Macaca fascicularis: one gene and its partners. The protein of the gene in region 2 purifies or fractionates together with the protein of the main gene of each other region. This does not show direct contact. Links are inferred from orthologs where the notes say so. Each region holds a gene or a part of one and is shown on either strand. Other genes may lie near its edges. The genes, in order: ZC3H18, CSNK2A2, ZC3H4, SAP30BP, PRMT1, PHRF1 and EIF3A.

The links.
Region 1: the proteins of CSNK2A2 (region 2) and ZC3H18 purify together in Homo sapiens (affinity purification with mass spectrometry; 3 studies listed by BioGRID and IntAct, with this or other methods). This does not show direct contact. The link is inferred for Macaca fascicularis from reciprocal best matches to the Homo sapiens genes CSNK2A2 and ZC3H18.
Region 3: the proteins of CSNK2A2 (region 2) and ZC3H4 purify together in Homo sapiens (affinity purification with mass spectrometry; 3 studies listed by BioGRID and IntAct, with this or other methods). This does not show direct contact. The link is inferred for Macaca fascicularis from reciprocal best matches to the Homo sapiens genes CSNK2A2 and ZC3H4.
Region 4: the proteins of CSNK2A2 (region 2) and SAP30BP purify together in Homo sapiens (affinity purification with mass spectrometry; 3 studies listed by BioGRID and IntAct, with this or other methods). This does not show direct contact. The link is inferred for Macaca fascicularis from reciprocal best matches to the Homo sapiens genes CSNK2A2 and SAP30BP.
Region 5: the proteins of CSNK2A2 (region 2) and PRMT1 purify together in Homo sapiens (affinity purification with mass spectrometry; 3 studies listed by BioGRID and IntAct, with this or other methods). This does not show direct contact. The link is inferred for Macaca fascicularis from reciprocal best matches to the Homo sapiens genes CSNK2A2 and PRMT1.
Region 6: the proteins of CSNK2A2 (region 2) and PHRF1 purify together in Homo sapiens (affinity purification with mass spectrometry; 3 studies listed by BioGRID and IntAct, counting the BioPlex papers as one, with this or other methods). This does not show direct contact. The link is inferred for Macaca fascicularis from reciprocal best matches to the Homo sapiens genes CSNK2A2 and PHRF1.
Region 7: the proteins of CSNK2A2 (region 2) and EIF3A purify together in Homo sapiens (affinity purification with mass spectrometry; 3 studies listed by BioGRID and IntAct, with this or other methods). This does not show direct contact. The link is inferred for Macaca fascicularis from reciprocal best matches to the Homo sapiens genes CSNK2A2 and EIF3A.

What each region holds. Positions count from the first base shown.
Region 1 is NC_088394.1:84,536,762-84,540,643, reverse strand, and holds the end of ZC3H18 (zinc finger CCCH domain-containing protein 18), read right to left. Parts: intron 2,167-3,882; coding exon 2,070-2,166; intron 1,557-2,069; coding exon 1,358-1,556; 3' UTR 688-1,357; downstream 1-687.
Region 2 is NC_088394.1:54,293,186-54,297,578, forward strand, and holds the start of CSNK2A2 (casein kinase II subunit alpha'), read right to left. Parts: upstream 3,068-4,393; 5' UTR 2,689-3,067; coding exon 2,585-2,688; intron 1,804-2,584; coding exon 1,692-1,803; intron 1-1,691.
Region 3 is NC_088393.1:55,111,967-55,116,316, forward strand, and holds the start of ZC3H4 (zinc finger CCCH domain-containing protein 4), read right to left. Parts: upstream 2,890-4,350; 5' UTR 2,875-2,889; coding exon 2,447-2,874; intron 1,842-2,446; exon of another isoform or gene 1,614-1,841; coding exon of another isoform or gene 1,468-1,613; intron 1,257-1,467; exon of another isoform or gene 1,233-1,256; coding exon of another isoform or gene 1,195-1,232; intron 1,129-1,194; exon of another isoform or gene 965-1,128; coding exon of another isoform or gene 942-964; intron 1-941. UniProt on the Homo sapiens protein: RNA-binding protein that suppresses transcription of long non-coding RNAs (lncRNAs). LncRNAs are defined as transcripts more than 200 nucleotides that are not translated into protein.
Region 4 is NC_088390.1:82,105,348-82,109,119, forward strand, and holds part of SAP30BP (SAP30-binding protein), read left to right. Parts: intron 1-2,492; coding exon 2,493-2,584; intron 2,585-3,317; coding exon 3,318-3,378; intron 3,379-3,772. UniProt on the Homo sapiens protein: Plays a role in transcriptional repression by promoting histone deacetylase activity, leading to deacetylation of histone H3.
Region 5 is NC_088393.1:57,657,550-57,661,321, forward strand, and holds part of PRMT1 (protein arginine N-methyltransferase 1), read left to right. Parts: coding exon 1-45; intron 46-720; coding exon 721-808; intron 809-888; coding exon 889-1,004; intron 1,005-2,546; coding exon 2,547-2,697; intron 2,698-3,054; coding exon 3,055-3,176; intron 3,177-3,772. UniProt on the Homo sapiens protein: Arginine methyltransferase that methylates (mono and asymmetric dimethylation) the guanidino nitrogens of arginyl residues present in proteins such as ESR1, histone H2, H3 and H4, FMR1, ILF3, HNRNPA1, HNRNPD, NFATC2IP, SUPT5H, TAF15, EWS, HABP4, SERBP1, RBM15, FOXO1, CHTOP, MAP3K5/ASK1, MICU1 and NPRL2.
Region 6 is NC_088388.1:505,314-509,085, forward strand, and holds part of PHRF1 (PHD and RING finger domain-containing protein 1), read left to right. Parts: intron 1-209; coding exon 210-391; intron 392-695; coding exon 696-815; intron 816-1,505; coding exon 1,506-1,660; intron 1,661-3,094; coding exon 3,095-3,772.
Region 7 is NC_088383.1:128,077,337-128,081,108, reverse strand, and holds part of EIF3A (eukaryotic translation initiation factor 3 subunit A), read left to right. Parts: intron 1-19; coding exon 20-183; intron 184-1,635; coding exon 1,636-1,835; intron 1,836-3,067; coding exon 3,068-3,276; intron 3,277-3,772. UniProt on the Homo sapiens protein: RNA-binding component of the eukaryotic translation initiation factor 3 (eIF-3) complex, which is required for several steps in the initiation of protein synthesis.

The DNA of each region.
Region 1 (3,882 bases), about 30 Mb from region 2:
GCCTCCCTGGGGCTCCACTCGCAGCCCCGGGGGAGGGAGCTCTCTCTTGGGGGTCTCATCCCAAACCTCGTGTCAGGAAGCAGATGAGGGACACGGGTGGGCCACAGGCGTGGGCCCCACACTGCGGCTCCTTGCATCTGATTAAAGGAGGTGCTGGAGGCCCTGGAGCGTGTACCTGGGAGGCCTCTGCCCAGGTGCAGGCCTGTGGCTTTCAAGGTGGAGAGCAGAGAGCGACAGTGGGGGCTCCTGGGGGGCTCTGCTGGTGGCCCCTGCTGTGGAACGTGGCATCACACATGGGGCCTGGCTCAGCAGGTCTGGGGCCTGCACACGGAGCCGGTGGTGGTCACTGCAGAGGTGGCAGCTGGGCTCAGGGCTGGGAGTCAGCCCCGGACCTCTTCCCCTCCAGCAGCTCCATAGCCCCTGCTCGGGAAGGTACCTCCATCTCATGAACCAAGGAACGCCCAACCCAGCCCCACAAATGGAGAAACTGAGGTGCAGTGCTTCCCTGAGCTGGGGTCTGAAGGCAGGAGCTGCTCCATGGCCGGTCCTCCCAGGGGGAGTGAGCGCGCAGCCACACCCTTGCCCCCCAGCAGCTCCCGAGTGCTGGGCCAAGTGCAGTGCACCACACAGAGGCAGACGGGGCTGTGCTTGGGCAGAGGGCGCACACACCACAAGGGCAAGAACAGCTGCTTATCAAAATATTTTATTTTAGGAGACCCCTCAAAAAAGACCCTCCACATTAGACAGACGCCCCAACAATACCCTTGGCCTTTTTTTTTTTGGTCTTTTCTGTATTTTTTCCTGTTTAAATCAACTAAAACAATTTGATGCTTAAAATAAAAGACAGGAAGTATTTCCTGATGAGACTTTAGTCGAGAATATAGATATATTTCTGATCCGGGGGCGGGTGATCGGGGGCGGGGAGGAGAAGGAGGTGCCACCAGTGGTTCTCGAGGTTCCATTTCTCAGCTCAGGAGGGATCCTGGCTGCCTGGACCCGGGCTGGGGACGCAGAGCTGGGGCTCCACAGGCCCAGGCCTGACCAGGGCCAGGAAAGAAGACGGTGGAGGAGGAAAAGAAGGCGGGGCTGGCGGCTGGGGCTTGTAATTTACATGAGAACTGTGCTGGTCACTCGCGCTGTCTGTGTCTGTCCTGTGGGACTTCTGCTCTGGGGAGGGAGGCTGGGACTCAGCGTCGTCGTCATCTCCTGTGTGGCTTCTTTTCCAGCTGAGAAACTTTTTTTTCTTTTTTACTTTTTAAAAAGAATCACAGCCAAAATAAGACATTAACTGCAAAATCCAAAATGGCTGCGCTTACCCTATGTATAAAAATGCGTCCAGTCCGGTCAGGGGCATGGCCTATGCTTTCCCGGGGATCTTGGCCCGCTTGCGCGCAATAGCGTCCTCCACGGCCTTCAGCTGTTTCAGCAGCTCCTCCCGCCGCGACAGCGTGCTGGCCTTCCCTGATTTGGTGCTGGCGGCGCCGGGATCCGAGGCTTTGCCGGGCACGCTCGTGACCTTGCTGGAGCTCTTGGACTGTGGTGACAGCTGGCGCTTCCTACAAGGGGGTGGGGAAGACCTTGAGCCCCCAGAAGCCACGTCTGAGGTGGAAGCAGCAGTGCGGTGCCCTCCCTGAAGGGGAACTTCCACTGAGTGCTCAGTGGCCACCAGGAGAGGCAAGGGGCTCCCGGGATGGCCAGGGTCCCATTGCCACAAGCAGGCCTGGTCCTAGCCACTGGCTGCCGGGCTTTGTGGAGTAGAGACTGGGAGGGTCCTGGGCTGGCCCCACACAACCTGCTCTTCTTCCCACCTCCGTGCCCAGAGCTCTTTGCCCAAGGACATGGGGAGCAGAGGGCAGCCTCCAGCCTCGACCAGGGCAGGAGTGTGTGTGCGGGAGTGGGGTTGCCCTTCCCTGTCCCTGTCCCTCACCACATCAGCCCAGCAGGAGCTACAGGAGCTGGAGCACCTCCAACCTGGCCCAGTGCTAGCCCTGCTGCTGCTGGCCTCCCTGGGAAAGAGGCTCAGGCTAGCCACCCTCGGTGTGCCCAGGGCACATGCTGGGTCCACTCACCTGTCAGCCGGGGCTGCAGGGGCTTTGGAGTTCTGGCCTCTCTGTCGCTCTGGCTTCGGGGAGCCCAGTCTCCCACCTGACTTCCGGTCCCGAGAACCTGGGTGATAGGTACAGAGTGAGACCACCCTCCTGGCTTACAGGGGATGGCAGTGTGGGTGGCCTCACCAACACCAGGGACTCACTTCTAAAGCCTGAGGCTGCTTAGTTCACCTCCTTCATTTTTATAAAGAAATAAAAAGGGAAGAGCCAAGTAGAAGAGAAGAGACATGTGGACACCAAGGCATCCGGAAATGAGGCTGAGGCCAAACCTGGGCTCCAGGTGCCACCAAGCAGCCAGTATCTTGCGCAGAGAGACAAAACTCCTTCCTAGCTTTGAAGAAATTTATCACATGGGGCTTCAAATACAGAACAACAAAAAAGACATGGCAGTAAAGACATACAAGCAAAGCCGAGAGATCACGAGTGTCACTCTGGCAATGTTAGGAGGGAGGCGCGGCAGCCTAGGCAGGGTCCACTGCCCGGCGCAGGCCCAAGGCTCATGCGTGAACAAAGGTCTGCAGACCCCAGTGGCCCTGGTTCCAACCCCAGGCAAGGACAGCGAGGCTGTTCCAGACTAACCACACAGGACACTGCCCTGGGCTTAGGGACAAAGGTGAGCAGCTTCCTCTTCCTACGCCCGACAAACTCAGAGAACTACTCAGGAAGGAGTCTGAAGCCCCCTGCCTGTTCTCTGTGTCTGGGAGTGGCTGTGCGGGTGGCCAGGCCCCCTTGTCCTCTGGTTTAAGTTCCACCCATCAAAGCCAGCCAGGACAACCTCCCTGTCTTTCCATCTGGGCCCCAGCTCTTGGGGTGTGGTCAGGACGGCTGGGGGTCCCCGAGGCCCTTTCAGGTCTATGTGGCTCAGCAGTAACACAGACACCGTCTGCCCTGTCACTCAGTTCACAAGAACCCAGGAGGGTCTCCAGAGGGCACGAGGCACGTGGGTCCAGCTGTCTTCTGTCAGTCAGACTGAAGAGATTTGCAAAAATGGAAAAACCAATGCCATTCCTGCTCATTTGTTTTGGAAAATATAATTATATTTTGCAAAAATGACACGTGTAAGAAAAATACAGGCCGGGCGCGGTGGCTCAAGCCTGTAATCCCAGCACTTTGGGAGGCCGAGACGGGCGGATCACGAGGTCAGGAGATCAAGACCATCTTGGCTAACATGGTGAAACCCCGTCTCTACTAAAAAATACAAAAAACTAGCCGGGCGAGGTGGCGGGCGCCTGTAGTCCCAGCTACTCGGGAGGCTGAGGCAGGAGGATGGCGTGAACCCGGGAGGCGGAGCTTGCAGTGAGCCGAGATCCGGCCACTGCACTCCAGCCTGGACGACAGAGCAAGACTCCGTCTCAAAAAAAAAAAAAGAAAAAAAAAAAAGAAAAATACAGTTGCTCTTGTTGCCCAAGCTGGAGTGCAATGGCGCAATCTCAGCTCACTACAACCTCCGCCTCCCGGGTTCAAGCAATTCTCCTGCCTCAGCCTCCTGAGTAGCTGGGACTACAGATGTGTGCCACTATGCCCAACTAATTTTTTGTAGTTTTAGTAGCAACGTGGTTTCACCATGTTAGCCAGGCTGGTCTCGAACTCCTGACCTCAGATGATCTGCACACCTTGGCCTCCCAAAGTGCTGAGATTACAGGTGTGAGCCACCATGCCCGGCCTATTACTGTTATATTTATTTATTTATTTATTTTTGAGACAGAGTCTTGCTCTGTGGCCAGACTGGAGTGCAGTAGTGTAGTATTAGCTCACTGCAACCTCCGCCTCCCGG
Region 2 (4,393 bases):
TGTGGATATTCCTAATTTCAATTTACGCCTCGCTTATTTCTTAGATTTGAAGCAGCTTATTAAAAACTTATGCTTATATATATAAAGCTAATGTATGGCTTTTTAAGGTAATTTCCCTGTGACTTAAAAAAAAAAAAAACCTTGTGACTTCATAAATGCAATACATATTTAGGGAAGAGAGGAGTCACACTCAGTATCTTCAACATCAATTCCTCACTTCTCATCCCCAGTGTGTCTGAGAACACAAGTAACTGTCTATTTCTCTTTACTGCAATTCTGCTTCTTCATCACTAGGCTAGGATGTTTTGAGTGATGGAGTTAATCATTTTTTCTGAAAGATTACGAGAAAGCATAAGCCTGACCCCTCACATTAAACAGTGATTACCTACACAGCTGCTCTAACACACAGAAACAGCTTTTCAATTCCACATTCTTAGTCCACAGAACCTCTGCAAAAGGGCCACACTGGAAATCACATGTATGCAAAGTGCTTACGTCACTCTTCCGTCTTCTCAATCTCTCACTAAATGACATGTAACCACATGAAATGATCTGGCAATAACGAAGACCCATCACAGATTCTAAGAACTACTTTTTACTATAGCCTATAAAACATTATTAAAGCTATACAATTAATGTTACCAGAAGGAAAATTTAGCCAACCCTTCATGCTCATTAAAATCATCTTCATGGAAGAGATAACAAAAGACATATCATTATCAAACTGATTGCTAAACCATATATTAAAATCGTTTTGTTCCAATTATTGCTTTAGTAATAATACGTGAATTCTTCTACATTTTTACTAGCTGATAAGCAACAATGGCTCTCTGGCTTCCCAACAAGGCTTCTCAGCACTACTGGCGCACTATATCCATCCCACCTGAAACTTTACTGCCAAAGGAAAAAAAAAAAGCAAGTGATTATCTGCTAAGGAATTTCCTTCCACTTGGGTTTGACATACATTTCTGAAGTCGCTCCAATTTTTTCCAACTTTCTTTCTGGAACAACGGAGAGCATGCACCAAGACTAACAAACACAGTGCTCAGGGAGCCCTTAAATTGAGAATGGCTTTCCTGTCTTTTGAATACCTATTTATTTTCTAACAAATGGAGCCCTTTAGGAATTTTTGCTTTAGGCAATTTACTTTTTAGAACAAACACCTTCCTGAACTTAGATTTGAACTAAGATCTGTGACCAGTCTGCACATTTTCTTGAAAGTTCACAGGAAAATGGGGTGGAAAAAGAAGTAATGAAGGGACATCAGATAAATAAAATCTGAGCGCGGGCTGGGCACAGCGGCTTATGCCTGTAAACCCAGCAATTTTAGGAGGCCTGCAAGGAGTCCTTTTGGAGGACTGCTTGAGCTCAGGAGTTTAAGACCAGCCTGGGCAACTTGACCAGACCCTGACTCTACAAAAAAATTTTAAAAATAACTGGGCGTGGTGGCATGCACCTGTAGTCTCAGCTACTTGGGTGAGATGGGAGGATCACTTGAGCTCAGGAGTTGAAGGCTGCAGTGAACTATGATCTGCACTCCAGCCTGGGTGACAGAGTGAGACTGACTCTAAATAAATAAATTAAATTAAATTCAAGTTTGCATTGCCCATTCTAGAACGTGACTGGGGTAGCTTACAACCTTCTGCCCTGTGGGGGGGAAAAATGTTACATACCACTCATAGGACACTCACCTTGAGGATTTTTACAACCACTCTCTCATTGTTGGTGATGTTAATGGCCTCAAATACTTCACTATATTTTCCCCGACCAAGTTTTCGAACCAGTTGGTAATCATCTTGATTACTGTAAAAGGAAGACACACACATAAATGCCAGGACTGGGGGTTAATCTAAGCAAGCCTATGCTCACTGTATACGTCATTCAGCCGCTTCCAACAGGCAAACACTTGGAAGTGTCTATACATCACGTCACAACTCATTCCCTAAATGAAAGCCACGACGTAATCTTGGCTCCCTTCACTCTGCAGAGCTCCTAACCTAATTGGTCTCTCCTAACTTGGAAAGATGGGGCAGGAAGGCAACGCTCTGAGCCAATCCAGAGGGCTGAGCAAAGCACCCGTCCTGAAGGCCTAGAGGGTGCCCCCTGTGCCCCGCGGCTCCCCAGCACCTGCTTCCCGTTTCACACCCTGAGGGTAGACAGTGCCTGTTTTAAAAAACTGGACGTCTTTAAGAAATTTCCTCCCACCACCTCATCTCAGAAAACCGAAAAGGCAGGGAATTTTAATAGCTCCAAAGGACAGCTGTTGACTTCCCACCCCAGTGGAAACCCAGAAGCGTGAGGAAGGGCTACTCCCTCACTTTTACCCGGCGTCGATCCCTGGACCCCACACTTCTCCCCGAGTAAAAAAGCATTCCTTGGGGGAAAGAGGTGCGCAAAGCGGGGAGAAAGGGACAAGGGGAGGGAAGAGGAAGACGAGGACATGTGCGAGAGCTGGACCTCTGCCTCCCTGCGGGCCCGCGGAGGGGTCGGCGGGAGACACCACCGGGCCCGAGTGCGGTTCGCAGGGGGTGGCCGGGCGGGGGCAGGGGTCAGCGGGCCCGGCGGGGGGCGGCGGCGGCTTTACCCCCAGCTCGGGACGTGAGCCTCGTAGTCCCAGTACTCGCGGCTCCTCAGGCTGTTCACCTCGGCGTAGACCCGGGCCCTGCTGCCCGCGGCCGGGCCGGGCATGGCGGGCGGGACCGGGGGGCGGCGCGGGGCGCAGAGGGTGGCGGCGGCGACGCGGCGGGGGGCGCGGGGCGGCGGGCGGAGGGGGCAGCGGGCCGCCGGGCGCTGGAGGAGGAGGAGGAGGAGCGCGGCGGCGGGCGGCCGCGCCAGGCCGGGCCCGCGGGGGCGGGCGGGCTGGGGGCGCGGGGGGCGCCGGCCGAGCCGGCCCGGCCCTGGAGCGGCCGGCGGGGCGGCGGGGCGGGCGGCGCTCGCGATCCGCGGCGGTCTCCGCTCGGCTCGCGGCCCCCAGGAGGCGGCGGCAGTGGCGGCGGCGGCACCGGCAGTGGCAGCCACCGGCCGGGAAAGGGGCAGCGGCCGCGGCAGCGGAGAAGAAGGAGGAGAGGAGGAGGAGGCGGAGGAAACCCGGAAAAGGGGCCGCGCTCGCTGGGAGCGGCCGCCGCCCGGCCTGGGGCCGCCCAGGCTCACAGCGCCCCCTGGAGCGCGGGGGGACCCGCCGGGCGGTGCCGGCCCCGCCCCGGCCCCGCCCCGGCACGCCCCGCCGCCTACCTCGCGCCCTCCCGCACCGTCCCGCACCCTCGCCCTCCCGTCGCCCCAGGTCGGACGGTCCAAATCGCCTCACCCTCGGGCTGGCCTGACTTCACGCCACAGGAGCCCCCCTTCCACTGGCCGTTGCCCTAGAGCCCTCGCCCGCGTGTCTCGACCCTTTCACTGTCCTTGGAGACCCTACCCCTAGCCCTGCACTCACCCAGCTTTTACCCACCCGACACCTCCCATACTGACCCTATTCTGACCCTCCTGTCACCCAAACTGTCAAGTCCCTCCCCAGGGCCTCGGTCAAACCTCAGAACCTCTCCCACCTCAATACTTCTCCCTTTCCCGGAGACATACCCCTCCTTCCCCCTCTGGACCCTGCCCTGTTAGGGTAGACTCCTCAGTCCCCAAAGCTTCCCACCCCCGTCATTCAGAGTCCTCACAAAACCTTTCCACGCTTCCCCCAAATGCCCTTCCAGAGCCTTCCCTGAATATCCACTTTGGTCACTTGGTTAAGCTGGTGTCGGCCAGGTTGTGCCACTGCAAAGTTACAATTTTTCCCTTTGTGATTAATTAGTTATTTGTGGGGAGAGACTTTGAGTGTGTAAATCTCCTGTTTGTGTTTAGGAGGAGGGAGAGCAGAATTGCAAATCCGACCTGAAGGGACAGCAGGGGTTGGGGATGCACCAGGGTAGGTGGTCAACTGAACTGGCCTGGCTTCCAGTGTTGCTTGCAGCCCTGAACACCCTTCTCCTTGGACCTTCTAGGCCCTTCCTTTGTCTTCCTTTCCCATCCTGCATCCTTTATCGACAGGACCTCTGCACCCAGTGCAGGTTGCTCTCATTCCAATCCCTTTTCACAGTCTGTTTTCTAGATGAAATCCTGGGCCTTCCTCCTTGACACAGCTAAGAGCACAGACTGTGGAGTCAGATCTATCCAGCACTGCTACTTAGAAGCTGTGTGACCTTAGGACAATTACTCAACCTCTCTGTGTCACAGATTCTACAGCACAAAACCAGTAATAGCACTCACTTCACAGGGCTGCAAGGAGAATTAAACAAGGTAAAGCATGTGAAACATGTAGGATGGTGTTCAATATTAAGATACTATGTGTACAATATGATTATTCCCAGACCCAGGGCCTTTCTCTGATCATGCCTCCCTCCCTGAGACCACC
Region 3 (4,350 bases), on a different chromosome or scaffold from region 2:
TCCTCATCTACATGTGCGTGACCTTTTTTCCTTTTAAGAAGGAAAAAAAGGAAACGGCTCTTTTGGAGAGGGCCAGGGTTCTCTCTCAAAGTATGTCAGGGATCAAAAGTGGGAAAGAGGGAAAATGCAACTTCAACGTGTTTTGTCTTTTAACGGAACTTATGCTTGTAAAACACATCAGAAGTACGGTGTTTGGTTCTGCAAGTCATTTCTGTTTCTGTTTTTTCCTTGTTACGTGTAGGCCGGGGGGACTGGGGGCTGGAGGAGGTGTTCCCTCCAACATGACTGGGCGTGTAACACGTTTGCATCAACTTTTCACAGTCAGACATGTGCTTTCGAACAAAGGAGCAGTGGAGACGGGCAGAGATGGGGGCTTGACACAGTTTACAGATTTTGTGCTTCAACAGTACTTTACAAATGACTTGCTCAATTTTAACGTCCATCACCACAAGAGACATTGGAGTAAAATGAGAAAATTGGAGCTACTTGAACCAATCTTTTCTGGGGGGCAGGGAGGGAGGGAAACCATTAACTTGAATACATGTATCATAAATCAAATTCAGTAAGCTTGTCTCCTACAAATGGACTTGAAGTATCCACTCTTTTCAGAGATGAAGGCTGGAGACAAAGCAATGGATTGAAATGGAAAGAGGGATGCCAAGAGTCCGAAAACATACGGGCCTTTTATATCGATTTTTGTCATGTTACAGTAACACACTTTTTTTTTTTTTTTGGAGAAAACTGTGTACGTAAAATTTTAAAAATTAAACATTGAAAGGATGTGCAAGTCTAAAAGGGCTCAACAGGGTTAGAATCCTGATTCGAACATATCAACTCACTCTCTCAAGCATCACTTTGGTCTAAAGGCGAGGAGGAAGGCAGGCAGGAAAGGGAGAAAAAGAGGGAGATCATTGAATTACTCAATAAAAGAGGCTACTTACCATCCCAACCCATTGTAAGACATACACTTCTGACATAAGAGAACTCCTTAGAGGTCGAATAAAGCGTGTAAGCACCTTTGAGTAATGCACCTGCCCCCGGAGAGGGGGCCCGGAAGCCCAACAAGGGCTTTGCGAACAGACCTTTGCTAATCTGTTTATTTCCTTGGAGTCGGGCTGCGATGGGCTGCGATTCCCAGGACGATACATTTAATTAGAACAAAACAGAAAAAAACAAATGTTGTAAAAAGCTCACCAAACTGCTGCACTTGTGTCTCTGAATGTGGGTGGCATTTCTTTTAAAAGGCAAAGTATGGTCTGTGAAGGAGAAAGGGGAAAGGGGAGGTGGGAGTAGGGAGAAGGGGCCGTAGACCCTAGCAGGGGAAGCCCTGGCTGAGACCCCCGGCCAAGGGAGGGTCCTCAGCGGCTCCCCAGCCAGGGCTGCGGCGGGGTAGCCATCTGTCCAGCGCGTTCTTTTCCCCTCTCCACCCCCACTCCAAGACTCGCTTTCCTGCCGGCTGAAACCCACCGTCCGTGTCCAAATCTACTCTCCAGCCGCCTCTTCTGCCCCACCAGGAAACAGTGGGCGAACCCTGCACCCCAACTCCTTCTGCTCGAGCAGGGGAAGGAAACGGGGCCCCAACCTCGCCCTGAAACGCGCCGGGCTGACCCCATTATCACCCGCCAGCCAGAGAAGGGCGTGGGGGGGGGGGGCGCCGCGTTTCGCACTTAATAAAGGGAAGGGGGCGCTTCCTTTAACGCCCTGCCAAAGCACAAGGAAATCTCCTTTTCTCTCTCCCGGAAGAGACGGTGCCCCATTTTACCCCGACAGAGGGGGGAACCCCACGAGAAAGCGCGGGACCAACTTCCTCTCCCTACAAGGCAGGGAAACCAAACCTTACCCCCACAAAACAAGGCTGCTAGTCTTCCCTCACGTCACCTACCTACGAAAAGCGAGAGAACCCCTGCCCTTTAACAAAAACACGGGTAAGAATCTTCTCTAAATAAATAGGCAGGGGTTTTCATCAAAAGGGCTGGAGATGCATCTCCCCCACTCCCCAATTCGGCCTTCTAGGGAATAGCTACAAAACACCTCCCGCCAAAAAATAAAAGTGCTATAAAGCACCCACCCAAATGACCCCCCATTACAAGGATGGAGAAGGGACTGCAATGAACCCCCACTTTCTGCCTCCTAAGCTAAGGTACCTATCATCCAAGTAGGGTAGGGTGTGCCTCCCCCAGGAGAAAGGATACTGCCGGGGGCTGGGAGACCCCCAACCCCAAACCCCTAAGAGCGGGGCTGTTGCTCGAGATCCCCCCAAAAAGGGTCCGGAGCCCCTCCCCCATCCCCTTCCCCGAAGCCAGGCGACGAGCAGGCGGGCCCGTGGCTGCCAGCTCCGGGCGTAGGGGCAGCCAAGGACCCCCGTAAGCCTCCGCAGCACCCCCCCCGGCGCCCCCTCCCCAGGGCGGGCGGGCGGGCGCGGGGGGTCCGAGGGGCGCCTCCTCACCTTCCCCTCAGCATGGCGCCCAAAAAAGACAGAGCGAGAGCGAGGGAGAGCGGGCGAACGCCGCGAGGGGGGGGAAACGCATGAGGCCAGGAGAGAAAGCAAGCGAGAAAGAGCGAGCGAGCAAGCGATCGAGAGACACCCACCGACCCCGCCCTTCCTCCTCCTCCTCCTCCTCCGCGGCCCGGCCCAACATGGCGGCCGCCCCCCTTCCTCCTCCTCCTCTTCCTCCCCCCGGGGACGCAGCCCCGGCCCGGCCGGGGGCCTGACCTGTCGTCAGGGAGCGGGAGGCGGTGGTGGAGGAGGTGCGGGGTGGCCGGGCGGGCGTCGGGGGAACACGGAGGAGGCGAAGGCGTTGATGGCGGCGGCGGCGATGGCGACGGCGGCGACTCTGATGGCGGCGGCGGGGGGGTCCCGGGCGCGGCCTCCATAGTTCCTTTGGGGGGGAGGGGATGTTAATGCACGAAAAAGGACTGCTTGGGCGTGGCGGGAGGGGCACACTTAAGCTCGGAGGGCTCCTGATGGGAATGGGGTATATATTTTTTCGGTTTCGGAATCACCTCTGCGCTGACCTCCGCGTAGGCCGCGCGGCCTAGGCCTCGGAGGGCCGCTCGCCGCCTGCTTTCTCCGCAGCCCACCCCTGCGGTCACTCGCTTACTGGCGCGGGGCCCTCATAGGGGCGAGAGCCCCCCCCCCACGCACCCCCGCGGGCCCGGGGGCGGGAGACCCGGGAGACTCGGACACTGGTGGGTGGTTGGGTGTAATTAGCGCGGGCCGCGCGCGATGGAGCAAGCGAAGGGTAAGGGGAGAAGAGGAGAGCCAGCGAAGGGGGTGGAAGGGTTAAAAAGAAAAAAAGGATTGAAGGGAGAGAGGGAACGGGCCGCGGAGACGGGCCGACTGTCTCCCTTGTCTGCCCGCCACTGGTCTCCCGGCTGCCCGGCCCCCGCCGCAATCAGGAATTGACACAAAATGGCGGCTCGGCCCGGACCAGCCTAGAGGCTGAGGCGGGAGGAAGGGTGAGGTGGGAGGGGGAACTGAGAGGCGGAGGCGGAGGCCGCGTCACGTGCGGGAGAGGGGTAGAGACCGCTTGCCTGAGGGCCGGCGGAAAGAACCGAAGGCAAAGGGTGAGTCCGAGGGGAGGCGGAAATAGCCGAAAAGAGCTGAGCAGGAGACAGGAGGCGACGGGGGAGAGCCGAAAAGAGCCGAAGCTGGTGATGGGGTGGGGCTAGAGAGAGCATGAGAAACCTAGGGGAGCCAGAAATAGCCTAAGCCGATTGGGACCGGGGAAGGAGGAGAAATTGAGATGGTCCGGAAAGAGCCGAAGGCGGTGTCTGGGTGGGTGGCAGGAGGTGGAAACAGCCGAAAGAAAAGCAGCCAGGGTAATGCGATTAAGAGAATGAGCTGAACGGGCGGGGCTGGAGCGGCGATTAATTAAGAGAATAAACGACTTTCAGGAATTCGCCCGAGAGCAAGAGGGAAGAACCGAAAATTGCTAGTTTGAAGGAAGGCGGGAAGAGCCGATAGTTTTAGGTGGGAGGATGGGAGGGAAGGAATTCAAGCTACGGAGAGAAAAAAAAAAAATAACCGAAAGCTGGAGGCCAGGTGCCGAGAGTCGGAGGTTTCCGGAGAAGCGATGAAGCCCAGCCAGCCCGGAGGTGACGTCACTCGACAACTCAGTCGATGACGTCATCCTTGCAGGAGAGAGGGGCGGGGCTTGGTAGTCCATCAGGGGAGTTTAAGGACCTGGGGTGTAGGAGGACCCAGAGAAGGCTCACAAATAGCGGAGATAGAAACACTGGCCGGTGTCATAGGCTGTGTACAAACAAAATCTTTTGACTCTCATAACCGTCCTAAAATAAGCTGCTGCAATTCCCATTTGCAGACTGAAGTTAGGTGTTTTAAGTAAT
Region 4 (3,772 bases), on a different chromosome or scaffold from region 2:
AAAGAGCTTTGCTAAGAAACTGAGGAACCCTCAGAATGTAAAATAAATTACAGAAATGAAAAAATCACAAGCATTTATATATATACATTTTTCTACGCTAATCTATTTCTAAAATGCTGATTCAGTAGCTTCTTGCTTGACAGAATGCAGCACTGACAGGAGGTTTTCAAATCCCAAGGAGTCGAAGCTTTTGTGCAGTTACACTCACGGGGGGGACATCTGGGGTTCAGCCCGTGGCTCTCCTTGTCCCTCTGTGGGTTCCCTTGTGATGAACAATAGAACAGGCACCCAAGGCTGCACAATCATGGCTCCTGGGCCACCTGCTTCACCTTTGATCCTGGAGCTTCCACTGGGGGCCTCTGGCTGCACAGCAAGCCTGTGACACCACCCTAACGGATGGATGACTAATGGGACCTGAGGCTAAGGAATGCAGCACGCTGGGGGAGGGCCAGAGTCAGAACTGGGGGTGCAGGGCAGATTATCTTCCCTTCCCGGAAGTCTCCTCCCATAGCTGAGTCGTCTCCCCACCACCACCCTCCAGAATCACGTCACCCTCCATGCCAGACAACCAGACAGCAAGCTCCAGCCTGTAAGGACAACTCCAGCAACCCGCCAGGCAGAGACAGCTGGCGCACTGCCTGCAGTGCCAAATGTGCCTCCTCTTTAGACCCTCCTGATGGTGGAAACCATGGCATTTGAGCAAACATTTTAGTTCATCTGGGGTGGTAGAACTGATCTTACGGCCCAGGAGACGCAGCCAAGTCATCTGTATGACATGGGTTCTCCTCAAGTTGCTGAGCCTTCTATATATGGCTCCCTCCATGACCCTGGAGGAGATAGCTTGGAGGACAGAAGTTCTTCAGTCTCGGCGATTATATCACAGACCTCCCTCTGCGGTTCAGCTCTTGCTCTGGCCAGTCTCGGTAGAAAGATTTGGCCTCTAATAAGGGGAGTGGATCACCCCTCCTGACATGTCCTAAACGCTGTCACCTGGGCCCTCCAGGCCTGCCCGCCCGCTTTGCTGGCACAGTGCCTCAGGTGTTTCCCTTCTGGAGAATCTCTGTTTAAGCCCCACTGCAGGGGGAGGCTGCAGGTAGATCTTGCCCTGGACCAGTGCCCGCCTTCCTGGCTGAGACTGCTCTTACCAGAGGTGGCTCTGGTGTCTTGGCCCTCTTCATTGGCACTGGGCCATGCTGATGCCATCTACTTTGGGCATCATGTCCATGGGCTGGGGAGGACCCCCTTCCTGAGGACGCCTGTGGCACTGGCCGCAGTAGGTCAGCCTGCATCCCCCGTGGTGGTTCTCCACTCTCCCACTGAGAGCCAGGCATGACCTGTGGGGAATTTGGGTGAGAGAGAAGCAGTTAACCCTTGATACCCTCGATAAGCCAGCGCGGACCAGCCACCTGTGCGCCTCCCTGTAAAAGACACAATCTAAAAAGCTTGCAAGACCGAATCCAAACAACTACTCCTGCCTCCCATGAAAAGGCCATAGCCCTTCCGAAGTCTCCTGTGGTTCACAGTTCTGCTGAGGACTTGACCTCATGTTAAAATTTAAAACCAGGATTCATTCCCTGCATATCAACACCAGTACCCTACACCCTGCTTCGGATGATTCTGGAACTGATTAACCAATTGGGGCTTTGTTCATTTTTTTCTCCGTGGCTCCTCTGCTGTGATCTTTTCACTGCTCACTATATTGTCATCCAGAGAGTGTCAGGAAACCTCAGCAGTGAAAGCAGCCTGGTCTTGGTTTATGTTACTTGTGTGCAATTCTGGGCAAAAGGTAGGGTGGAAAAAGAGAATAGGTTAATTTTTTGTTTCGTGTTTTTGAGAGAGTCTCACTCTGTTACCAGGCTGGAGTGCAGTGGCATGATCTCAGCTCACTGCAATGTCCACCTCCCAGGTTCAAGCGATTCTCCTGCCTCAGCCTCCCAAGTAGCTGGGATTACAGGCGTGCCCCACCACACCCAGCTAATGTTGTTTGTGTTTTTAGTAGAGACGAGGTTTCATGTTGGCCAGGATGGTCTCAATCTCTAGACCTTGTGATCCACCCACCTTAGCCTCCCAAAGTGCTGGGATTACAGGCGTGAGCCACTGCGCCCGGCTGAGAATAGGTTAAATTCTCCGCCTTCTGGGTTCACGCCATTCTCCCGCCTCAGCCTCCCAAGTAGCTGGGACTACAGGTGCCTGCCACCATGCCTGGCTAATTTTCTGTGTTTTTAGTAGAGATGGGGTTTCACCGTGTTAGCCAGGATGTTCTCGATCTCCTGACCTCGTGATCCACCCGCCTTGGCCTCTCAAAGTGCTGGGATTACGGGCATGAGCCACCGCGCCCGGCCAAGAATAGGTTAAATTTTAACATGAGGTCAAGTTGGGCTTTGCGTGGCTCTGGAGCCTCACGTTCATGCTGCACACGTAGCTGGTGACCAGGGGCTGGGATGGTGGAGAGGTGGGCTTCTGTCATACACCCCTCTGCTCCTCTTCCATAGGACAAGATCCAGAAGCTTTATGAACGAAAAATAAAGGAGGGAATGGATATGAACTACATTATCCAAAGAAAGAAAGAATTTCGGAACCCCAGGTAAGTTTCTCTTGAACCTGCAGAGTTTATTGAGTTATTAATGTTGGATTAAGGACGTCCCCAAGGAGGTGGTGAGGAAAAGCCCTGAGCCCAAACCATCACCCAGACTTGTCATTACACTGAGTGCCTGCTGGACACGGCAGACTATGCTAACCCAGCCAGAGGCTTGCCATTTAAGATCCTGACAAAACACAAAGCAGTCCATACCGAGACCTAGACGGGGATGAGGGAGACCTGGCTGAGTTCTCGTCCCTGCTCTGAGCCTAAAGCACATGACCTCTCAAGACCCCTGTCCTCATGGAAGGAATTGGACTAGACAATTACTATAGGTTCATCTTTCAACTCTAAAAAGCTGATTTTTGCATATAGGTGAGAGGTCTTAGGACCAGAGCTATGTCTGGTCTTATTCCATTTAATGCTCAAGCTAGTGACTTACGGGGGAAAGAGCATGGCCCTTGTGTGGGCCTGAGTGTGGTGAGCCCAACCCAACCATGCAGACTGAAGGTCAGTGGGACAAAACTCAGCCATCACCTTGACCCCATGCTCCTCCCGGCCCTTAGTTAACAGGTCCATCTCCCTGGGAGGGTGTAGGGCCATCAGGAAGCTTGCTTAGAGCAGCTGAGCTGGATTTAAAGGTTTTGAAGGTTTTGTGTCAGCCCCAGGAGCTGGATGGTTCAGGCCCCAGGCAGGGACGTGGACTTGTGCCTGCTCAACGCCTGTGCTGTTTTTTCAGCATCTACGAGAAGCTGATCCAGTTCTGTGCCATTGACGAGCTTGGCACCAACTACCCAAAGGTACATCTGGCACACGGAGCTGGAGGGTGATGGGGACACCCGGGGTCCTGTGCTTGTTCCATGGGGTTTGACCTGCAGCCACAGAAGGGTCCATGTAGTGGCACCGCTAGTTGAAAGCACAGTCCCCATGTCTTGTGTTTGAGTCCCTATTGTTCTGAAATAGTCCAATAAAGAGATTCCAGTGGCCGACCTGGTGTCTGGCCCCTGACTGGTGGGGACATGTGTGGACCTGCTGCTCCTGGGGGTCACTGGATGGGGGCTTCATGCTCCCGTGTTCTTCAGCACTTGCCAGCTGCCCCTTGGCTAGAGACCAGGGATGACAGCCGAGCCCCAGGTAAGGGGACCCCAGACCAGGAAGCTCTGTGGAAAGACTCAGGCAAGGAACTTGGGTTTC
Region 5 (3,772 bases), on a different chromosome or scaffold from region 2:
GAGTCCATGCTCAACACCGTGCTCTACGCCCGGGACAAGTGGCTGGTGAGGCCCCAGCAGACGGGTGCAGCTCGCATGGGCTGGGGGCCAAAAGCACTCAATTTTTCCCACAGACGGGACTTACTATGGGGGTGTGGCTGCAAGGTGTTAGAAGGCCACAGCCCGAGCCAGGTGTGACAGACCCTGGTGGGAGATGGTGCGATGTGGGGGGGTTTGTAGGAACAGGAAAACTATAGCAGGGCACTAGACCAGGTTCTCCGGCCCCAGCAGGCCGCCCCGGGAGAGGTGAGGTGACCGAGAGCTGGATGAAGATGTGGAGGGGTGGCCAGGGCAGGTGTTCCCTTGCTGCATGTGGAGCAGCAGGGAGGCCCGTGTGGAAGGAGGGTCTAGAAGGGCAGCAGGAGGAGCAGTGGAGGTAAGGGGTGACAGGGCATGTGCAGATTTTGTGGGGCCTTATGGGACCCCGCGCGACTTTGCTTTTCCTCTCAGAGCAGCCAGGGAGGGTCTGAGGATCCCCAGAACCTCGAGGGACAGGAGCTGACTGAGGTGCCCCTGGGTGCCCTCTGGCGGCCGTGTGGGAAATAGACCAGGGGGTGAGGGGTGAGTGCCGCTGCGACATGAGGGTGGCTCAGACCAGGGCAGAAGGTCACATCTCGGGGGCAAGAGTCAGGGCAGCGTTGCCAGGCCCCACCCTTCATGCCTCGCCCTGCCCCTCTGCAGGCGCCCGATGGCCTCATCTTCCCAGACCGGGCCACGCTGTATGTGACGGCCATCGAGGACCGGCAGTACAAAGACTACAAGATCCACTGTGAGCGTGGCCCAGGAGCGGGCGGGCGGGGCCCCGGGTGGGCTGCCGCGGGCTCACCCCCTCCCTGCCTGCCTCCCCAGGGTGGGAGAACGTGTATGGCTTCGACATGTCTTGCATCAAAGATGTGGCCATCAAGGAGCCCCTAGTGGATGTGGTGGACCCCAAACAGCTGGTCACCAATGCCTGCCTCATAAAGGTGAGGGGGGGGGGTGGGCATGGCCAGGTGCCCCCTGGGTTGAAACCAAAGAGAGGCCATCACCTGGCCCTGGCATGGGACTTTGGGGCCCAGAGTGTTGGCCTGAGGTCTCAGAGCCTGACCTGCCAGCCAGAGGTGGTGCTAGGGGCCCAGGAAAGACGTTTCATCCTTTAAACATCTTTGTGAGCGCTGCCGTGTGAGAACCACGTTTGGCACTTGGTGTCCGGCAGAGGACACACCCGCAGCTGGTAGCTAAAGCCCACAGCCCGTACACGGGAAGGCAGGACCTGGGGCGATGAGCGGGTGCACACGCTGCAGAAGAGCAGGGGGCCAGGCTGGGATCCGAGATGTGCCTGTGGTTGCAGCTACTCAGGAGGCTGAGGCGGGAGGATCTCTTGGGCCTGGGAGTTCAAGGCTGCAGTGAGCTGTGATCACATCCCTGCACTCCAGCCTTGGTGACAGTGTTTTGTTTTGTTTTTAACTTTTTTTAACTTCTGAGACCCTGTTTATTTATTTATTTATTTTTTCTTTTTTTTTTGAGACGGAGTCTTGCTCTGTCGCCCAGGCTGGAGCGCAGTGGCCGGATCTCAGCTCACTGCAAGCTCCGCCTCCCGGGTTTATGCCATTCTCCTACCTCAGCCTCCCGAGTAGCTGGGACTACAGACTCCCGCCAACCCGCCTGGCTAGTTTTTTTTTTTTTTTTTTTTTGCATTTTTTAGTAGAGACGGGGTTTCACTGTGTTAGCCAGGATGGTCTCGATCTCCTGACCTTGTGATCCGCCCGTCTCGGCCTCCCAAAGTGCTGGGATTACAGGCTTGAGCCACCGCGCCCGGCCGACCCTGTTTAAAAAAAAAAAAATAAGGCAACGAGTATTTGTTGAGCTGGGATGTGTGAGCCGGGTGAAGCTGGGTGGTTGGCCGGGGGTTCCTGTGGGGAGGAGGAAGCTGTTGAGTGGGAATGGAGAGGAGACTGGAGGGGCAGGGACCCCACCCAGGCCACCCTCCTGAGAACCAGCGGAACTGGTGCAGGGTTTTCGGTTGGATTGCCGTTTGAAGCCATCATGCTGGTGGACTTGTGAAGGGTTGGGGAGAGTGGGGAGCGCGGAGAGGGGGGAGCGCGGAGAGGGGGGAGCGCGGAGAGGGTGGAGTGCGGAGAGGGGGAGCGCGGCCCGGAGAGCGCGGAGAGCGGGGAGCGCGGAGAGGGGGGAGCGCGGAGAGGGGGGAGCAGGGTGCCTGCATTCCCAGGAGGTCTGGCCAGGTGGGGTCGGGGCGGGGTGGGCTCTGGACAGAGTTAGGGTGGCGGCGCCAGGTTTGGGTGCGGGAGAGAAGGGAGCAAAGAATCTGGGCTCAAACCGAGGCGGTTTATTGGGAGCCGGACAGTCAGGATGAGGAGTGAATGAGGAGCTGAGGCTGGGTGCCAGTAAGGGAGGGCCAGCGGGAAGGGGACAGTGAGGTCACAGGCCCTCTGGGAGCTTGAGGGAGGGAGGAGGGGATGAAGCGAGGTGGGGACACATCCCGGAGCTCACCCTCTCCTGTCCTGCAGGAGGTGGACATCTACACCGTCAAGGTGGAAGACCTGACGTTCACCTCCCCGTTCTGCCTGCAAGTGAAGCGGAATGACTACGTGCACGCCCTGGTGGCCTACTTCAACATCGAGTTCACGCGCTGCCACAAGAGGACGGGCTTCTCCACCAGTGAGGCGGGGCCCGCAGGGCTGGGGGCTGCTCCTGAGCCAGGGCCGAGGGGCACCCACATAGTGGAGGGGGTGACAGAAACGGGCAGAGGGAGCCATGGGGACATGTGTGTTCCAGCGTGAGCTCTGCCATGTAGCAGTCACGTGGCCTTGAGCAAGTGATCTGAGTGTGCAGTGCCTCAGTTTCCTCATCCACAAAAGCCTGACACGGTCCCTGTCTCCAAAGCTGAATGACAGGGAGGTGACTCACGGACAGCAGTCCCGTCAGCTGTCAGGGGGGTGGACATTCCAACAGAGGGAACACAAGACTGGGGCCAGGGCAGCAGGCCAAGGCCAGCTGACCCGCCTGCGCCCCCAGGCCCTGAGTCCCCGTACACGCACTGGAAGCAGACAGTGTTCTACATGGAGGACTACCTGACCGTGAAGACGGGCGAGGAGATCTTCGGCACCATCGGCATGCGGCCCAATGCCAAGAACAACGTGAGGCTCTGGGCAGCTGGGCAGGAGGGTGGCAGCCGGGGTGGGGAGCATGGATAGGGGCAGTGGTAGGGGGGAATGGTGGCAGCGTAGGGGATGGGGGTAGCTGGGGCGGATGGGGGCAGCTGGCAGGGGCGAGTGCCTCTGCCTGTTCCCGGGTCCCTGAGCCCCTCAGCCCCACGCCTGTCTACACAGCAGATTTCTTAGCATTTACTGGAAGATGGGCCTGGGGACCCAGGCCAAAGCCCTGTCCTCCTGGTGCTTCCAGTCTACACAAGGGGATCAGTGACATGGTGATGCCAGTGGGAGGTGACCTCTGTCAGGCTGGGAGCAGGGCAGACAGGTGTTGGCGTGGGTGAGCTCCAGGGCAAGAGGCGGCCCCGGTAGAGCGCACAGGGTTTGCTAGCCCAGGTGGGAGGCATGAGAGGAGGAGAAAGGCAGCTTTTTGTTTTCCACTCCCCCCTTTTTCCTCCTGAGCACCTGGTAGGAGCTGCCATCACCTGAGATCAGGGGGTTTCCAGGGGAGCTGGGGGGTCTTCTGGGAGAGAGGGTCTGGGCAGAGAGGTCCAGTGTGGCGGGTTTGAGCAGGCAGGAGGATG
Region 6 (3,772 bases), on a different chromosome or scaffold from region 2:
ATAACCTGCAGTGAGCTTCGCAGCCGACGTGTGCGGCGCTGGGTGTGCTTGTCAGTGATCAGTGCCTGCGAAGCCTGTTGACTTTGGCTTAGTGTTTTCCCGCCCTAGTGTTCGCTGTTGCTGATGAAGCCTTCACATGGCATTTACAGAGCCCTCGTAGATGCCATCCCCGTCTCTCTGTTCATCTTTTTCTTTGTTACTGGATTCAGAGTGAAGCCACCACTCGCTCTCGAATTGCGCGGACGCTGGGCCTTCGCAGGCCTGTTCACAGCAGCTGCATCCCATCAGTGTTGAAGCCAGTGGAGCCCTCCTTGGGGCTGCTGAGAGCGGATATTGGAGCTGCATCTCTGTCTCTGTTTGGAGACCCCTATGAGCTGGACCCCTTCGACAGGTGACCGAACTGGTGATGGTCCTGCCTGGGCACCCGCTCCTCTCTCTGGGGGCTGTGGGCATGGTACCCGAGGTGCATGTGGAGGCGTTAGGTTTTGTGTTTGTGAGTGAGGGTGACCATTCCTCCACCACCACACTCAGTGCAGGTGGGCAGCGTGGAACTTAGAGGTCTGGTGCGGGGCCCGAATCACACGTGCCGCCACGTGGCCAGTGCTCGGCCATCCTCGTCCGTGCCGTCTCCCTGGGCTGCGGGTTCTGGGAGCTGGGAGTCACCCGTTCCCTTTGGCCTGTGTTCTCCCCTCTAGCAGTGAAGAACTTTCTGCAAACCCTCTTTCCCCTCTGAGTGCCAAGAGACGGGCTCTGTCCCGGTCAGCCCTGCAGTCCCACCAGCCCGTGGCCAGGCCCGTCTCCATGGGGCTTTCCAGGTGTGTGAGAGCAAAGGCTTCTGGGGAGGTGAGGGCAGCAGTGGGGCAGCGGATGGGGGTTCCAGGGTGGCCCTGGGTGGCCTCAGCACCCCCCCTCAGCTGTCACGCTTATCAGTCGGCTCTTGGCGTGAGGCAGTGCTGCAGCCTGTCGTGAGTCAGAGGCCACGGCCTGCCCGTGAGCGTGGACTGGAGTTGCTGCAGCTCCACGAGGTTGGCCCCTCTGTCCCCCACCCTGGCTTGAGAGCCACCAGCACAGGGACACCACCTCGGGCAGGAGCAGTGGCTCTGGTGAATAAGGCTGTTATCAGAGGTCACCTTTTGGCCAGTTCTTTTGTTTCGCCACAAGAACAAAAAAAAAATTGACCAAAACCAACAGAACAGGTAAAGATGCTTGTCTGCCCCTCCCGCCCGTTGGTGGAGTTGGGGGTGGCAAAGGCACCAGAGGTGACTTCTCCCAAAAACACCTGGTTTCCCTGGAGCCAGAGCTGGAGGGTGGGGCTCCCTCCCTCCCTCTGGGAGGCCCTGGTGGGCACCTCTTAGAACAGCAGCCGGAGCCAGGACTGTGGGGGAGGCGCAGGCCCCGCCCAGCCCCACTCTTCCCGGCTCCTGCCTGCTGCAGGGCTCTGCCTGGGTGCCGGTCCTCAGGCTGTGGGAGGCAGTGATGGCAGGGCCTTGGGTCTGTGCCCACAGGAGGCATCTCCCTGCTGCGGTGCCAGAGCCAGACTTGGAGGAGGAGCCAGTGCCTGACCTGCTGGGCAGTATCCTATCGGGCCAGAGCCTCCTGATGCTGGGCAGCAGTGACATCATCATCCACCGTGATGGCTCCCTCAGCGCCAAGAGGGCGGGTGAGCACCTCCGTGCCACAGCTGCCTTCCTCTGTGGGCTGCTGGTCCTCAGGCTATTCCCAGCACTCAGCCCATGTCTCAGTCACAGAAGATGTAATTGAAGTTGGGGGACTATTCCTCAGCCATTTTTCTCCATTGATTTCCCTTCTTGAGCAGTTTCCCAGTTAGCTCTGAGTTCTTACCGAGCCCCACAGCTTCAGAGTGCGGCCCCTAGTACCTGGTTAAGAACATGTCGGCCGGGCGCGGTGGCTCACGCCTGTAATCCCAGCACTTTGGGAGGCCGAGACGGGCGGATCACGAGGTCAGGAGATCGAGACCATCCTGGCTAACACGGTGAAACCCTGTCTCTACTAAAAAATACAAAAAACTAGCCGGGCGAGGTGGCGGGCGCCTATAGTCCCAGCTACTCGGGAGGCTGAGGCAGGAGAATGGCGTGAACCCGGGAGGCGGAGCTTGCAGTGAGCTGAGATCCGGCCACTGCACTCCAGCCTGGGCGACAGAGCGAGACTCCGTCTCAAAAAAAAAAAAAAGAACATGTCCTGACCGGGCGCGGTGGCTCAAGCCTGTAATCCCAGCACTTTGGGAGGCCGAGACGGGTGGATCACAAGGTCAGGAGATCGAGACCATCCTGGCTAACATGGTGAAACCCCGTCTCTACTAAAAAAAAAAAAAAATACAAAAAACTAGCCGGGCGAGGTGGCGGGCGCCTGTAGTCCCAGTTACTCGGGAGGCTGAGGCGGGAGAATGGCGTGAACCCGGGAGGCGGAGCTTGCAGTGAGCTGAGATCCGGCCACTGCACTCCAGCCTGGGCGACAGAGCGAGACTCCGTCTCAAAAAAAAAAAAAAGAACATGTCCTGACCGGGCGCGGTGGCTCAAGCCTGTAATCCCAGCACTTTGGGAGGCCGAGACGGGTGGATCACAAGGTCAGGAGATCGAGACCATCCTGGCTAACATGGTGAAACCCCGTCTCTACTAAAAAAAAAAAAAAATACAAAAAACTAGCCGGGCGAGGTGGCGGGCGCCTGTAGTCCCAGTTACTCGGGAGGCTGAGGCGGGAGAATGGCGTGAACCCGGGAGGCGGAGCTTGCAGTGAGCTGAGATCCGGCCACTGCACTCCAGCCTGGGCGACAGAGTGAGACTCCGTCTCAAAAAAAAGAAAAAAAGAAAAAAAAAAAAAAAACATGTCCTACTGGGGAACTGCCCCTGCCCCGGTTAATAGCATCCTAATGGCCTCAGGCCCTGTACTTTGTCATCCACAGAGCGGCTGTTGAAGCAGCTCTCCGGGTGTGGAAAGACGAGGTGTCCACCTCAGCAGGCAAACGGGAGTTTAAAGTGCACGACCTCACAGAAAACCAGTTGTGATAAAAGTTAAACCACTGACATTTAAGAAGAGTGGGTGGGAAATGATTGCCATTGACTTTTTTGTTTTTTAGCTCCAGTTTCTTTTCAGCGAAACTCAGGCAGTCGGTCCAGAGGGGAAGAAGGATCTAAGGACTGCCTGCGGCCCCAAGCACTGCCCTCAGGGAGCCCAGCCCAAGGCCCCTCAGGAAACAGGCCACAGAGCACAGGGCTAAGCTGTCAAGGCAGGTCCTGCATCCCCGCCCGCACCTCGGGCGCACCGGTGAGGCCGGACTCGTCAGCAACCCCTGGGTCGGTTCAGGCTCGGAACTTGTCCAATGGGAGCGCACCTGGCTTCAGACAGAGTCCCAGCCCCCGGTTCAACGGCACCAACAAGCACACTTTGCCCCTTGCTTCTGCCGCGTCTGAGATCTCAAGCAGAGATTCGAACCCCCCGTGTCGCCGTGCGGTGCCAGGGCCTCCCCTGAAACCCACGCCCAAAAGAACAGACATCTCTGAGTTGCCCAGGATACCAAAGATCAGGAGAGAGGACGCTGGCGGCAGATGGGGCGCGGCCCCAGCCCACGGGCAGAGCATCGAGATCCCCAGCGCCTGCATCAGCCGGCTGACTGGCAGGGAGGGCGCCGGGCAGCCAGGGCGAGGCACGCGGGCAGAGAGCGAGGCCAGCAGCAGGGTCCCCCGGGAGCCCGGCACGCACACAGGCAGCTCCCGGCCCCCAGCCCCCAGCTCCCATGGCAGTATGGCCCCGCTGG
Region 7 (3,772 bases), on a different chromosome or scaffold from region 2:
TTTTTTTCTGTCTTTGTAGTGTTCTCCTAAGTGCTGTAAGTGGTGAAGACACTCAGGATCGTACTGACAGATTACTTTTAACTCCATGGGTTAAATTCCTGTGGGAGTCTTACAGGCAGTGTTTGGACCTTCTTAGAAACAATTCTAGAGTAGAGCGCCTTTATCATGATATTGCCCAGCAAGGTAAGATGAGAAGATCAAATCTGAGTGAAGTGCTTTGAAATTGAGGAGTAAATTTTCTGAAAAGTGCTTAAAATGAACTAGTTTTTATCCTTATTGAAATGTTGGCATTCACATGATATTAAATGACTGCGGCCGGATGTGGTGGCTCACACCTGTAATCCCAGCACTTTGGGAGGTCAAGGTGGGTAGATCACTTGAGGTCAGGAGTTCAAGAGCGGCCTGGCCAACATGGTGAAACCCCTTCTCTACTAAAAATACAAAAAATTTAGCCGGGCATTGTGGTAATCCCAGCTACTCAGGAGGCTGAGGTGGGAGGATTGCTTAAACCCAGGAGGCGGAGGTTGCGGTGAGCCAGGATGGCACCGCTGCACTCTAGCCTTGGTAACAGCAAGACTCCGTCTCAAAAAAAAAAACAAAAAACAAAAAAAAAAACAAAAAACAAAACCAAAATGACTAAGGGATTTGTTTTGCTCGTTAAAGGAGTTTTGTGTGAATTGTATTTTATTGATACCTGAAAAATTTTTTTTCTTTTTACACAAATATCAGTAACAATGAAAGACATTTTAAAGTCCTTTTGGAATTCTCCATGTGACTGAAAAAATAAACTTTTCCTTTTTTTTTTTAGTAAACTTGAATCCTCTACTTTGGGTTTTTTTAAAATTTATTTTTATTTTTTAAAAAAGAACTGGGATTTTGCATTGTTGCCCAGGCTGGTCTCAGACTTCTGGACTCAAGTGATCCTCTTGCTTTGGCCTCCCAAAGTGCTGAGATTACAGCTCTGCCCAGCCTGAATTTTCACTTTAACACAAGTAAATTTGGACTTTTTGGCGGCTGTTGATACAAATATTAACTTGAAGTTAAACTGGATCTCTGTTTTAGGTCTGTTAAAATAGACATACTGTTTTTAAGGGGAAAGGAAATCTAAAAAATAATCCAGTATCGCATATGTGACAGTAAAAAAATTAACGTGTCCATTTAAATGACAGGGAACAAATAGTTCATCCATCTGTAATCAGTTGAAATTAGGTTACTATAAGCCCTCAATTTGTATTATGTAGTTTTAATTAGTACAGAACCTTGTTGCTTTCCATGTAAGTTAGATATCAAAGTTCATTATATTTCAGACTAGATTATTTTTACTCTTAGGATTTAAAGTGGTGGGTCTTTGAAAGGTGACTCTTAGATCTAAATTTTAGTTTCCCGTTTGTAAACTCTGCCAGCACCACATTTTAGTTCTAGGCAAGGACCGATGATTATGTTTTTGGTTTTGTTAGGGTTCACTCAAAAGATAGTCTAGATGAAATAAGTTGATTTTCATTGCATCACAAAGACTAATGATGAGTTTGATGAGTCCCGTTAAAATAACTGATTTTAATGTGTGAAGTAAAACCTAGTCAAATATTTAAATAGATAGTGGAAGATACCTAATATATTTTACAATTATGCTTATAGCTTTCAAATTCTGCCTCCAATACACGCGTAAGGCTGAATTCCGTAAACTGTGTGACAATTTGAGAATGCACTTATCGCAGATTCAGCGCCACCATAACCAAAGTACGGCAATCAATCTTAATAATCCAGAGAGCCAGTCCATGCATTTGGAAACCAGACTTGTTCAGTTGGACAGTGCTATCAGCATGGAATTGTGGCAGGTATGTTGGACCTATTAGCTTTTCTTTCTAGAAATAATAGTCTGTGTTATTTTTCTCCCCCCTTAATGAATAGCTTCATCTTGGTATGCATTGGTTAATTTCAGTAGATAAGGTAAGGAATTAAAGTTGCCTGATGGGCTGGGAAAAGTTCTGAACAAGAAATCTCAGAATATTTTGTTTCTAGTTGCCTTCTATGAATTGTGGACCAAACCGTATAATCTCTTTCAGACGCAAGTTTCTTGATGTACAAAACAAGACATTGCCACTGCTGCTCGAAGTGTGGTTTCATGACTGGTGTCATTTGTGAACTGTCTGGTCTGTGATGAAATAAGTATAGCATAGAGAAGCATATGCAAAGTTTCTTAGTTGCAATTTTATTGTAAATTTTTTGTGTGTTTACTCTGATAAAAAGTGAACTTTTTCTGTTTCATTTTTGTGGTAATTTTGTATTTTATATTCTTCGGTAAGAGGTTAGAAAAAAAAAAAGAATCCTTTACTAATTGTTGGAGAAGCGCTGCTGTAGATTATTCTAGATTTCTTAGTAGTGCTTTAGCTGACTGTCTTGCATTGGAGATCTTGGTGGTGGTAGGAAGTTAGTCCTCACCTGGCCCTTTTTCTCTAAGAATCCTCCAAAAACATTCTATATAATTTTGTAGTCATGTGACCTTGAAGTCTTTTGTATATTTGATGGACAATATTTGATTGAAATTATAGAGGAAGAAACTAAAGATTGGGAGTCTTTGAGCCCAGTGAAAGTGTGATTCGATGTCTTGTTCTTGCCCATGTTTCCTTTTCTATAGGGACACCCATCTTAAAATACTACCTGTAGAAGATGAGTAAACATGCTCCATTATAGAAAAAAATGCATAAATTAAAAGAAGAGACATATTCATCCATTATCTTATCACTCAGAAATAACCTGTTGTATGTCTTTCTAGATTTTTTTCTTTATATTGTCCCAAGTGATGGGATAATATGCCGATATTTTCTTGAGTCTGCTCTGTCTACTTTCCAATATTTCCTAAAGAACTTTTAAAAAGTTTAAGGAGTTAGTGTTTTTGTAATTGTGGCAGTTTTCTAAAATAGATATTATACATGAGTAAAGAGAACCACACAAAGGTATTTTATTTGCTATTTTTATGTTTTCTGTGTTGTAGGTTTCATAGAAATTTGAATTAGATTTTTTTCATGTTATAGAATGCAATGACTTTAATTTGTACTACTAATTTTAGGAAGCATTCAAAGCTGTGGAAGATATTCATGGGCTATTCTCCTTGTCTAAAAAACCACCTAAACCTCAGTTGATGGCAAATTACTATAACAAAGTCTCAACTGTGTTTTGGAAATCTGGAAATGCTCTTTTTCATGCATCTACACTCCATCGTCTTTACCATCTCTCTAGAGAAATGAGAAAGAATCTTACACAAGATGAGATGCAAAGGTAAGAATGTTATACTTGGATAATGTTGAAATTTTGTAACAAATACCTGTTATATGACATGGTATATTCTAGGCCATGGTTTCTCAGCCTCTGCACTGCTGACATTTTGGGTTAGATAATTCTCAGTCGTGGGGCTGTCCTGTGTACTGCAGGTTGTTTAGCAGCATCTCCAGCTTCTCCCCATTAGATGCTAGTAGCAACCACCCCCAGTTGTGACAATTATAGACGTCTCAAGACGTTGCCCTTCCTGAACAGTATTCTTGGACTTTAGTAGTTGGTCTTGAACTCCTCACCTCAGGCGATAAGTAATTCCACTAAAAGCCCAATTGAGAAATTTGAATATTAGCAAAAACACGTTTAACGGATGAGCTTTCTATCCACATACAGGTATTTAGAGTCTATTCTTAGAACAGATAGAAAATTAAGAAAAACCCTTTTTTCTTTTCTTTTTTTTTTTTCTTTGGTGAGACGGAGTCTTGCTTTGTTGCCCAGGCCG